2 linked regions of the Nothobranchius furzeri genome follow. Each later gene encodes a partner of the first gene's protein in a complex. Links are inferred from orthologs where the notes say so. Each region holds a gene or a part of one and is shown on either strand. Other genes may lie near its edges.

Region 1 (4,202 bases):
CCTGGAGCCTTGCCAAAAAGGAGCTTTTTAACCACCTCAGTGACCTCAGCACCAGAGATTTGAGAGCCCAACTCAAAGTCCCCAGACTCTGCTTCCTCACTGGAAGATGTGACGGTGGGATTAAGGAGGTCTTCGAAGTATTCTGCCCACCGATCCAAAGCGTCCTGAGTAGAGGTCAGGTATCTTATTTTGAAATATCGAAGGTGAAGTAACATTTCAGGAGCGAATAAGAAGAGGGCGTTCCCATTTTTGGAGGGTGCGTTCTCACTTACAAACCAAACTCCTTTTAGTGGCTGGCTGGTGTCAGTACCAGATCTGCTCGTGCAGCCAGATCGGCTCGGGGTACCGCATCTGCAAATTACGTCACAGTAGATGATTGGCTGAACGTAAGACTTGCAGAAGTTACGATACCACATCCGTAAAAGTTATGTTAGCACATTGACAATGATGATTTTGATTGGTCAGAATGAATTTACGGTTGTAGTCTTAGTGGCTGTAGTCCTGTAGTCCCAAAATCAACACTTTTCGGAGAAAATGTGTTTGAATTTCCAAAGTAAATGTAAAATAAAATGCAAAGATATCAACTGATATCAAAGTCTCAAAAGCTCTTGATTTTTATGAAATATAGGGCAAAATAAAATTTAAGAACTTTACTGAAAAGACACCAAGCAACATTTTGAATGAATGAATGAATTAATTAATTAATTAATTAATTAATTAATTAATTAATTAATTAATTAATTAATTAATTAATTAATTTACATAGCAGCTAAGGAAAAATACAGACTAATTCCACATTTATACAAACAGATGTGGCTTCACATATATGAACTGTTGTCTTTTTTGGCAGTCTGACGGTTTTATGTAGTTTCACGTTCTGTATAAAACAAATATAATATGGTGTTTTATTAATAAATTACAATTATAAAGAAAACATTTAGGTAGTAGCAAACAAGAATTTATTAACAAAACTGCTGATCTGGTACCAGATCTGACAGATGATATTTATCACTGCACACAACCATTGTGTAAACACTGTTACATAGATATAAATTGAATTGTGTTTTTAGGTAAACGAAATAAGAAAAAGACAAAGACTTTATTATTGTAAAAACGATAGTAATGATTTTAAAGGTTTTGTCACCAAGCACCAACAAAGCTCAGAATTGTTGTCTACAAACCTGAGTGACTTTTGAATAAAATTGAATAATTGCAGACAACAGTTGGGATCCTGGCCTTCTCTAATCAGAATTAAACAGCATTTTGAATATTTTTTGAGTTCCATACAACTGCATTCTGAATTAAATTGACCATCTGTCTAGTTCGCGCCTTTAAAGAATACATTTCCCATCATTCCCTTAGTAGTTTCCCCGGAAGAAAACGTGCGATGTTTCTTTGTGCTTCCTCTTTCCGTCAGCGGAGTTTAGGTACGACAGCTATTTTCTGCTTCTCACCGTTTCATCGCTTGTTAATCATGACTTTTCTGTGTCATCCACATCAAACTAATACTTATATGTGTACACAAAATGTTCACATATTTAATTTAGGTAGCATTTTAACAGTTGGCTTGTCAAAAGCTATATTAAACTATTTTAAGTGCTTGGTGACATGGCGGAGTGGTAGCGCTGTTAGCGACTAAAAGGCCGGCTACTGTGCTTCACCAATTTGTGTTTTTAAGATGTACGGTACTTTAATCAAGGCGATGGAGAAATAAGATTGTAAATTAAAAGACTACACGTAAATCTTCGCTCACTGTTTAATGAACGGTGTTAGCGGTATTAGCTACTAAGCTAACACCGTAAAAGATGTTGTGGACATGTGAAGTTAAACCTGCTTTCATATGGCCCTAACAGCGGAAATATATAATAGTTTTTCTAACATTCCCTCTGTCAAAATCTTAATGTTTTTGTCCCAATACCTCAAACGTTTATGTAAAATTGACTATTAGTTTAAGAGTGTTTAAAAATGACAGGGTGAGCGTTGTTAGCCTTGCAAAGCATTGATTTGTAAAATTCCAATTAAATGTGGCCCTGAAGTACTCTGCTGTCTGTTTCAGAACACGATGGGACGTGTGATCAGGGGACAGAGAAAAGGTGCAGGCTCTGTGTTCAGAGCCCACGTTAAGCACAGGAAAGGTGCTGCTAAACTCCGTCACATTGACTTCGCTGAACGCCATGGTTACATCAAGGGGATTGTGAAGGTGGGTGATGCTTCAGAACTGGTTTTGGTCTTGTAGAGTGAGGCTGGTGTGAAGTTTTATACCTGATCCTCTCAGGATATCATCCATGACCCTGGCCGTGGTGCTCCCCTTGCCAAAGTGGCTTTCCGTGACCCATACCGGTTCAAGAAAAGGACAGAGCTCTTCATCGCTGCTGAGGGAATTCACACTGGACAGTTCATCTACTGCGGCAAGAAGGGTACGAAACTAAAGCTCCTTTCACTATTTAGATTTTGCATCCCAGGTACCCTTCACAGGTGCAGTATGTAAGAATAAAGTGAGCATTTTACAGTGAGAAAATCTCAAAAGAGTCAACATTTCAGTCATTTTGGAAGGACGGTTTTACTGAAACATATTTCATATCTAGATGGCTGTGAGGAATGTCAGTTTTTTTCCCTTTCAAAATAAAGGAAGGAGGGACATAACTACTTTTTACCATCAGTGAGTGTATATAATCAACAATGTTGATTATATATTTCTTCATCAAGTTGACGCAGTGATAGCTTGATCTTGTATTGTTGTTGTGTCCCATAATTTTTAGTTTTTTTTTTCTTGCCTCTTTCTGCAGGTCTAGAAGCAGACTCTTGTTCATTATTGTTTATTTTTGTGGACCCCCTTCCCCCTCTCTTCCCACCTTTTGTCTTTTCCTTTCTCTTTCACCTCTGTCTCCATGTTTGGTCGGAATTACAAAGCATTTAAAAACAATAACAAAGTTTTAAGTATCAGGCATGACATTAGAAGCAGACGCTTTGATGATCCACCTGAGAGTAAATCTGTAAGGCTTGTTACCAGCATTCAGACATCAATTCTGTTTGCTTCACAGCCAGACGGGACACGGTTAAAAAATAATAATGAGAGTTCCCAGACCCCTTCTCTGTGCAGAATTAAACAGAGGAGTCTGGCAGGCCAGGCTAGCCTGGTAAAGTCATAATATGCAAATTAAATGAGTGAATTTGCTCCCAACACAAACTTAAGTCTTACTGAAGATTTTTCTCTTACAGTTCACCTTTATCTCTATTTCCAAGCCACAACCTTTTGAAATTGTCATGTCAAAATTAGGGCTGAGTGTTTCTGGAAAGTAATCTAATTGCAAGTTTTTTTCTTCGATATTGCAATTGCGATTTAATTCATGATTATTTTCAACTAAGGAAACAAAAAAGAATTGGCATCCCTGTGGGTTTTTCCATGATATTAGCATTGTGCTAACCACTCGCTGCCAGTCAAATCGCAGTCTTTGTGATTAGAAAATAGTCACATCGCAATTTAATTGCATATGCAGTCAATCGTTCAGCTTGAGTCAAAATTAATTATGATCTTGAAAAAAAACTGGCGCCCAAATGGTTACGTTTAAATCTGGTCTGTGAGATTCCTTAATGCCTGTTTTCAATTGTATAGAACATTTGATGGTCCAGCCCTAAACAATTGGGTACATTTTCCAGAAGACCTTCACAATCTTCTTCAAAGGATATGCAAAATGTAGCTTTATGCAGACCTGTCTGTTAGCTGATTAGAAATACAATAATTTAATCAAGGTGTGTACTTGTTTTTCAATTTGAAGCTGTGCGAAAACTGTTAATTTATTCAGCTTTAAGAGGAAGTTTCACTGGTGTCGTGCTTTGCTTAAAATGAACACTTTTGTTGTTAAATCACATTCATGTTTGTTTTTAAATCTTCTCCTGTGTGTTTGGTTTATTTTACAGAAACTAATTTAGCCTCAATATAGGGCTGGGCGATATGGCCTCAAATCTGTATTGTGATATAATCTGAAGCATGTGCAGTAACGATATATATTGCGATATATTTTTTCCTCTGTTTATATATGTCAAAATGACATGCTTTTAGATATCCTCATGTGGCAAATATATGCCACTTGAGGCATATAGGCCTCCTCCTCCGCCCACTCCATGCTTGCAGTCACCGCCATTCTGTTGTCCCATTGTCAGCAGGGTGCTCATCTTAGTGACGTCATGTGTTATCGCGGTAT
Region 2 (4,127 bases), on another chromosome or scaffold:
ACGTACCCGGATAAATACGTTGTTAAGGACATGCCAGACCTGTAGGTGGCAGTACTTCTCCCGTTCTTAACCTCTTCCTTCGTCTGTGGTCTTCCGTAAGGAGCAGTAATTCCGCTTGCAAAAACAAACAAGCAAAAAGCGCTTGGACAATTGATAAAGCGAGCGCAGCTCTGAGGGCATCCATGCTGTCGGCTAGTGTAAACACAGGTCGCACACGTGATGTCAGCATTTTTTTGTCGCGGAAAGTGACGTTGCGGACCTTAAAACTCCGGTTTTGTCTGTCCACACGCAGACACCCAAAACGGAGAAAACGCAGATCTTCACTTTGGCCGGAGTTTTTAAAAAGATCCGTTTTCGTGTGAAAAAACTCAGTTTTCATGTGGATGACAGGCCAAAACGTCGAAAAATATCTACGTTTTGGCAGATCCCCGGCTACGTGTGGACAGGGCCTAAATCCCAATAATAAACATTTACGGCTGTGCTGCGTTATCTTAACAAGTAGAGCAGAGTTGGAAAACTAGTTTTAACCTTGTGCAGCAGATCCCCCCAGCTGTTTTTCTGGTACGATGAGATCGTGATGTGCAGAGAGTGTGCTTCTGGAAGGCAGTCGCCCTGATGGATGAACCCTCGGGGGAAGTAAAGGAGATCTCCGGCTTCTAGCACCACGTCCAGGATCGGCTTCCCGATGTCAGACTGATCAAAGTTAGCTGAGGAAATATCCCAAAGGAGAATCTTCTGAGGAACGTTTGCAACAAAGCTTTAAAAGATAAAACTGCTGCACATAACAAAACCTAACCATTTTCTCTATGAAATCATGCTAACAGTTTACTCACGACTTGAAAGTACGGGCAGAACTTCATCTTCCGATCTAGAACACAGAAAAACTAAGTAAAAACAAAGAATCCATGTGATAAATCAATGTTAACTCAGATGGTTGTCCATTAGGAACAGAGGCAAAAATGAATCAATTAGACCAGATCAAAACTATTTAGTGCATTTCTGACATTTTTACACTAAAAGGCAAAAGAAAACACATCAATGCGTCCAAATGTCACTTCAAATTTAGCCAGAATTGTTTAGTAAAATGTTAGCACGCTAAAAGGATCTAAAGCTGACTCTGTTTTAGTTCACCTCGGGCTGTAAACTCGCCAATGTTTCTTCCCCTCCAGCTGAACCACAAAGGCCTCGATGTCGTCATAATGTGGAGCAAAGCCTTGAGTTCCAGGCGGTGTCAGGTATCTGATTATATAAGAGATAATTAAAACATTTAAAACTGAGATTGGGCAAAAACAGACTTCTGAAACATACACATTGGCTCCTGCCATGCTGCCAAACTGCTCCTGGAGGATGGACAGCACGTTCCACACGGTGGAGGAGAACGCCTGAGGATTCAGCATGCGGACCGAGCAGCCGCTCTACAAAACAAAAACCACTTCTAGCTTTACACGTTTACATCATGCTGCAGTTCTGCACCGAGAGCAATTAGATCATAAATGAGACTATTGCACTGTTCTCACATCATAGAAGTCCCACACGGTGAAGGGCAGAGCTCTTCCTGGGGGATTGTAAGTTTCCCTCTTGCCGTTAACGTAGCTGGTCACATCCAGGTTCACGCCATACTGAACATCTTCCTTTACAGCAAAAGCTCTCTGGTTGAGTTTTGTTTTTATCTAACTGGCTCAATGTTAATAACATTTTTAGCAAAAAAATTCTAATAGAACTTGATAATTATTCTGAGATTTTTTTAGATCCTTACCTCCCTCAATATGCGATCAAACTCAGCCGTTGAAAACAGACCCTTGTAGTAATCTGGATTGCTGCGCTGCACAAAGACGGGCTTCTTTTCCCAGGTTTCTCTTAAAAAAGAAAACGGCAGTGTGTCTTTTAAAAATCTGCACGTGATGTCTTGCATTTTACCTAATTTTCTAGTTAAAACACTGAAACAATCCTTGCATCCTTCTTATTTCTGATGCTAAATCCAACCAGCTGTTATATAAAGCTGCATCTCACTCTGGAGGGTTTCCTGTAGCAGTTATGGTCAGTCTGCCACAGAAATAAAAAATGACTTGGGGGGGGGGGGGGGGGGGGTGTGATTGTGATGTGCAGTTACATAAAAACACACTAAAATGATGGTTCAACAGAGGAGCTCCAGTGTGGTCGAATCAAGTTGATAAAAACTACCTGAAAAAGTCTTTGATGGGAACGGGTCTCATGATCCACTGAAGCAGCTTCCTGGCTCTCTCCCTGCTGTTGTTGACTTTAGCCAGCTCAGTCAGAACAGCCTCTAAAGACTCTCCAATAACACACTTCTGCACCTCCTAAACACACACACACACACACACAAGTATTGTTACCACAGGTGATTCAGTATCTTCATTGAAACACCAGGTCCGCATCCTTACCTTAGCATCGGTCACTGGCGGCAGGAACTCCTCTCTCTGGGCTGCCTTCAGGAGCTTTTGCCGGAACTTCTTCCTCTTTGCCTTTAACGCTTTAACACTGACAGCTGGAGCCGCACTAACTTTCCTCTTTTTCTTCACTTCCACCTGATGAATCATACATGTGAGGGCAAAAACCAAACGCAGCCGAGATGATGGAGAAAACAAAGTGCAGAGAAACAACTAAATTAACGGGAAATGTGGAGTCGACATAAATGTTAAACACTCGCACCTGGATGGAGGGCTTCTCAGCAGGAGGTGGACCCTTTGGCCGCAGACCTTGATACAGAGAAAAGGCAGACATGTGTTTTCTCTCCATTTCTCCCAGTTGCTCAGACGTCATCACCATGCGACGGTTTCTTCTGTAAACCCTTCTGTAGATCTATGTCTTTATTGACTCACTACCGCCCCCTAAAGAATCGCGTCATAAACTACAGACGCAAACACAGAATTTTTCACATTTGAACAAAGATAAATAAACGAATAAACAAACAGATGACAATTTTAAATGTCAGCTAAACAAATAAATATTTTTTTCTTCTTTCATCCCTGCTGTCTTGAACGTATTAAGTTGCAAACGTGTGTGTGTGTGTGTGTGTGTGTGTGTGTGTGTGTGTGTGTGTGTGTGTGTGTGTGTGCATATATGTATATATTTTTTTATAAAGGATTAACTCAATTTTCAGATTCAAAACACGTTGTCCATGGCTCAGAAATACCAAATTCCCCATAAAATACCTGCAACAAAATATTAGCTGTCTTATTATTTAAAGCTGAATAACTGCTACAGTATGCAATGTTATTTATGTTTATGTATTAATGTATTATGTATTTTCGCTAAGTCTTTTTGTATTTGTTATTTGTATGGCCTTTTGGGGTTTGGATATAAGAGGAAATTAATTGTTAGTCACGTTTCTTTGTAGGCCTAGTGTGCAATGACAATACAATTACTGTTATTATTATTATCATTGTTAATATAATATCTTGATTTTTTATGTAAAAGCAGGTAAAGAGGCCGTAGAAGTGTCAGAAATATGTGACTGTGATTTTTCCCTTCACTTTGTTATTAGTCGATCACATTTTGATGACCTTCTTCAAAACAAAGCAGAAATACAAACATTTTTTATCCTTTTTTGGTTACACATAAAGACACTTTATGTAGAGACGCCAAACCACCACCAGGGGGTGCGGTTTCTCCTGTTTTCACCCGTGCGTTGAAGGCTCAGATCTCTGAGCATCGTTTCCCATAATGCTTTGCTGCGTCCAGCCGTCTCTCCAACAATGCAGCTTTTAATGGAGCTCTGAACGCTGCGAGATGGAAACGATGCGATACCACAAGCTTGTCCGGGGACTCTAGTCGTCCTGAATATACCCTGGGATATTTCTACCGTTCGTCAAACCCCTCGGGTGGTTTTACCTCATTTTCGGGACGTACCGGACCGTTTTCTCAGCGGTAAGTAGCCTCTGTAGCTAGCGTCGCTCCTGAGTAAATACATTTTGTTGTGACCACTGCTGGCTAACAGGCCAAATGAGACATATGGCTGCTTATGTCTTTTCTCTCATCTTCACCACTGAAACATGATGTCCTCATTTTAATTCTGATCGGGACATCAAGGCAGTTCGGCTGCTTTCTGCGGCCGCTTCGGGGTCTGCTTCGTTCTGATTTCAGCCACATCAGCCAGCCGGTGTAGT

The links. Proteins that work in one complex are often made in the same cells at the same time.
Region 2: the proteins of rpl8 (region 1) and riox1 are in contact, whole or in part, in a crystal structure (PDB 4CCN), measured with the Homo sapiens proteins. The link is inferred for Nothobranchius furzeri from reciprocal best matches to the Homo sapiens genes RPL8 and RIOX1. Residues at the interface, in NP_000964.1 of Homo sapiens: Gly213, Gly214, Asn215, His216, Gln217, His218, Ile219, Lys221, Pro222; in NP_078920.2 of Homo sapiens: Gly259, Gln260, Arg272, Thr274, Arg297, Met322, Ala323, Gly324, Ser325, Asn326, Tyr328, Phe337, His340, Asp342, Ile344, Ser374, Asn376, Thr419, Ser421, Thr422, Gln424, Tyr577.

Annotation. Positions count from the first base shown.
Region 1 is NC_091754.1:29,838,192-29,842,393, reverse strand, and holds the start of rpl8 (large ribosomal subunit protein uL2), read left to right. Parts: upstream 1-1,346; 5' UTR 1,347-1,427; intron 1,428-2,056; 5' UTR 2,057-2,062; coding exon 2,063-2,200; intron 2,201-2,275; coding exon 2,276-2,417; intron 2,418-4,202. UniProt on the Homo sapiens protein: Component of the large ribosomal subunit. The ribosome is a large ribonucleoprotein complex responsible for the synthesis of proteins in the cell.
Region 2 is NC_091742.1:9,307,528-9,311,654, forward strand, and holds the start of riox1 (ribosomal oxygenase 1), read right to left. Parts: upstream 2,805-4,127; 5' UTR 2,788-2,804; coding exon 2,671-2,787; intron 2,547-2,670; coding exon 2,403-2,546; intron 2,319-2,402; coding exon 2,182-2,318; intron 1,857-2,181; coding exon 1,757-1,856; intron 1,650-1,756; coding exon 1,518-1,649; intron 1,416-1,517; coding exon 1,309-1,415; intron 1,240-1,308; coding exon 1,132-1,239; intron 869-1,131; coding exon 834-868; intron 708-833; coding exon 529-707; intron 1-528. UniProt on the Homo sapiens protein: Oxygenase that can act as both a histone lysine demethylase and a ribosomal histidine hydroxylase. Specifically demethylates 'Lys-4' (H3K4me) and 'Lys-36' (H3K36me) of histone H3, thereby playing a central role in histone code.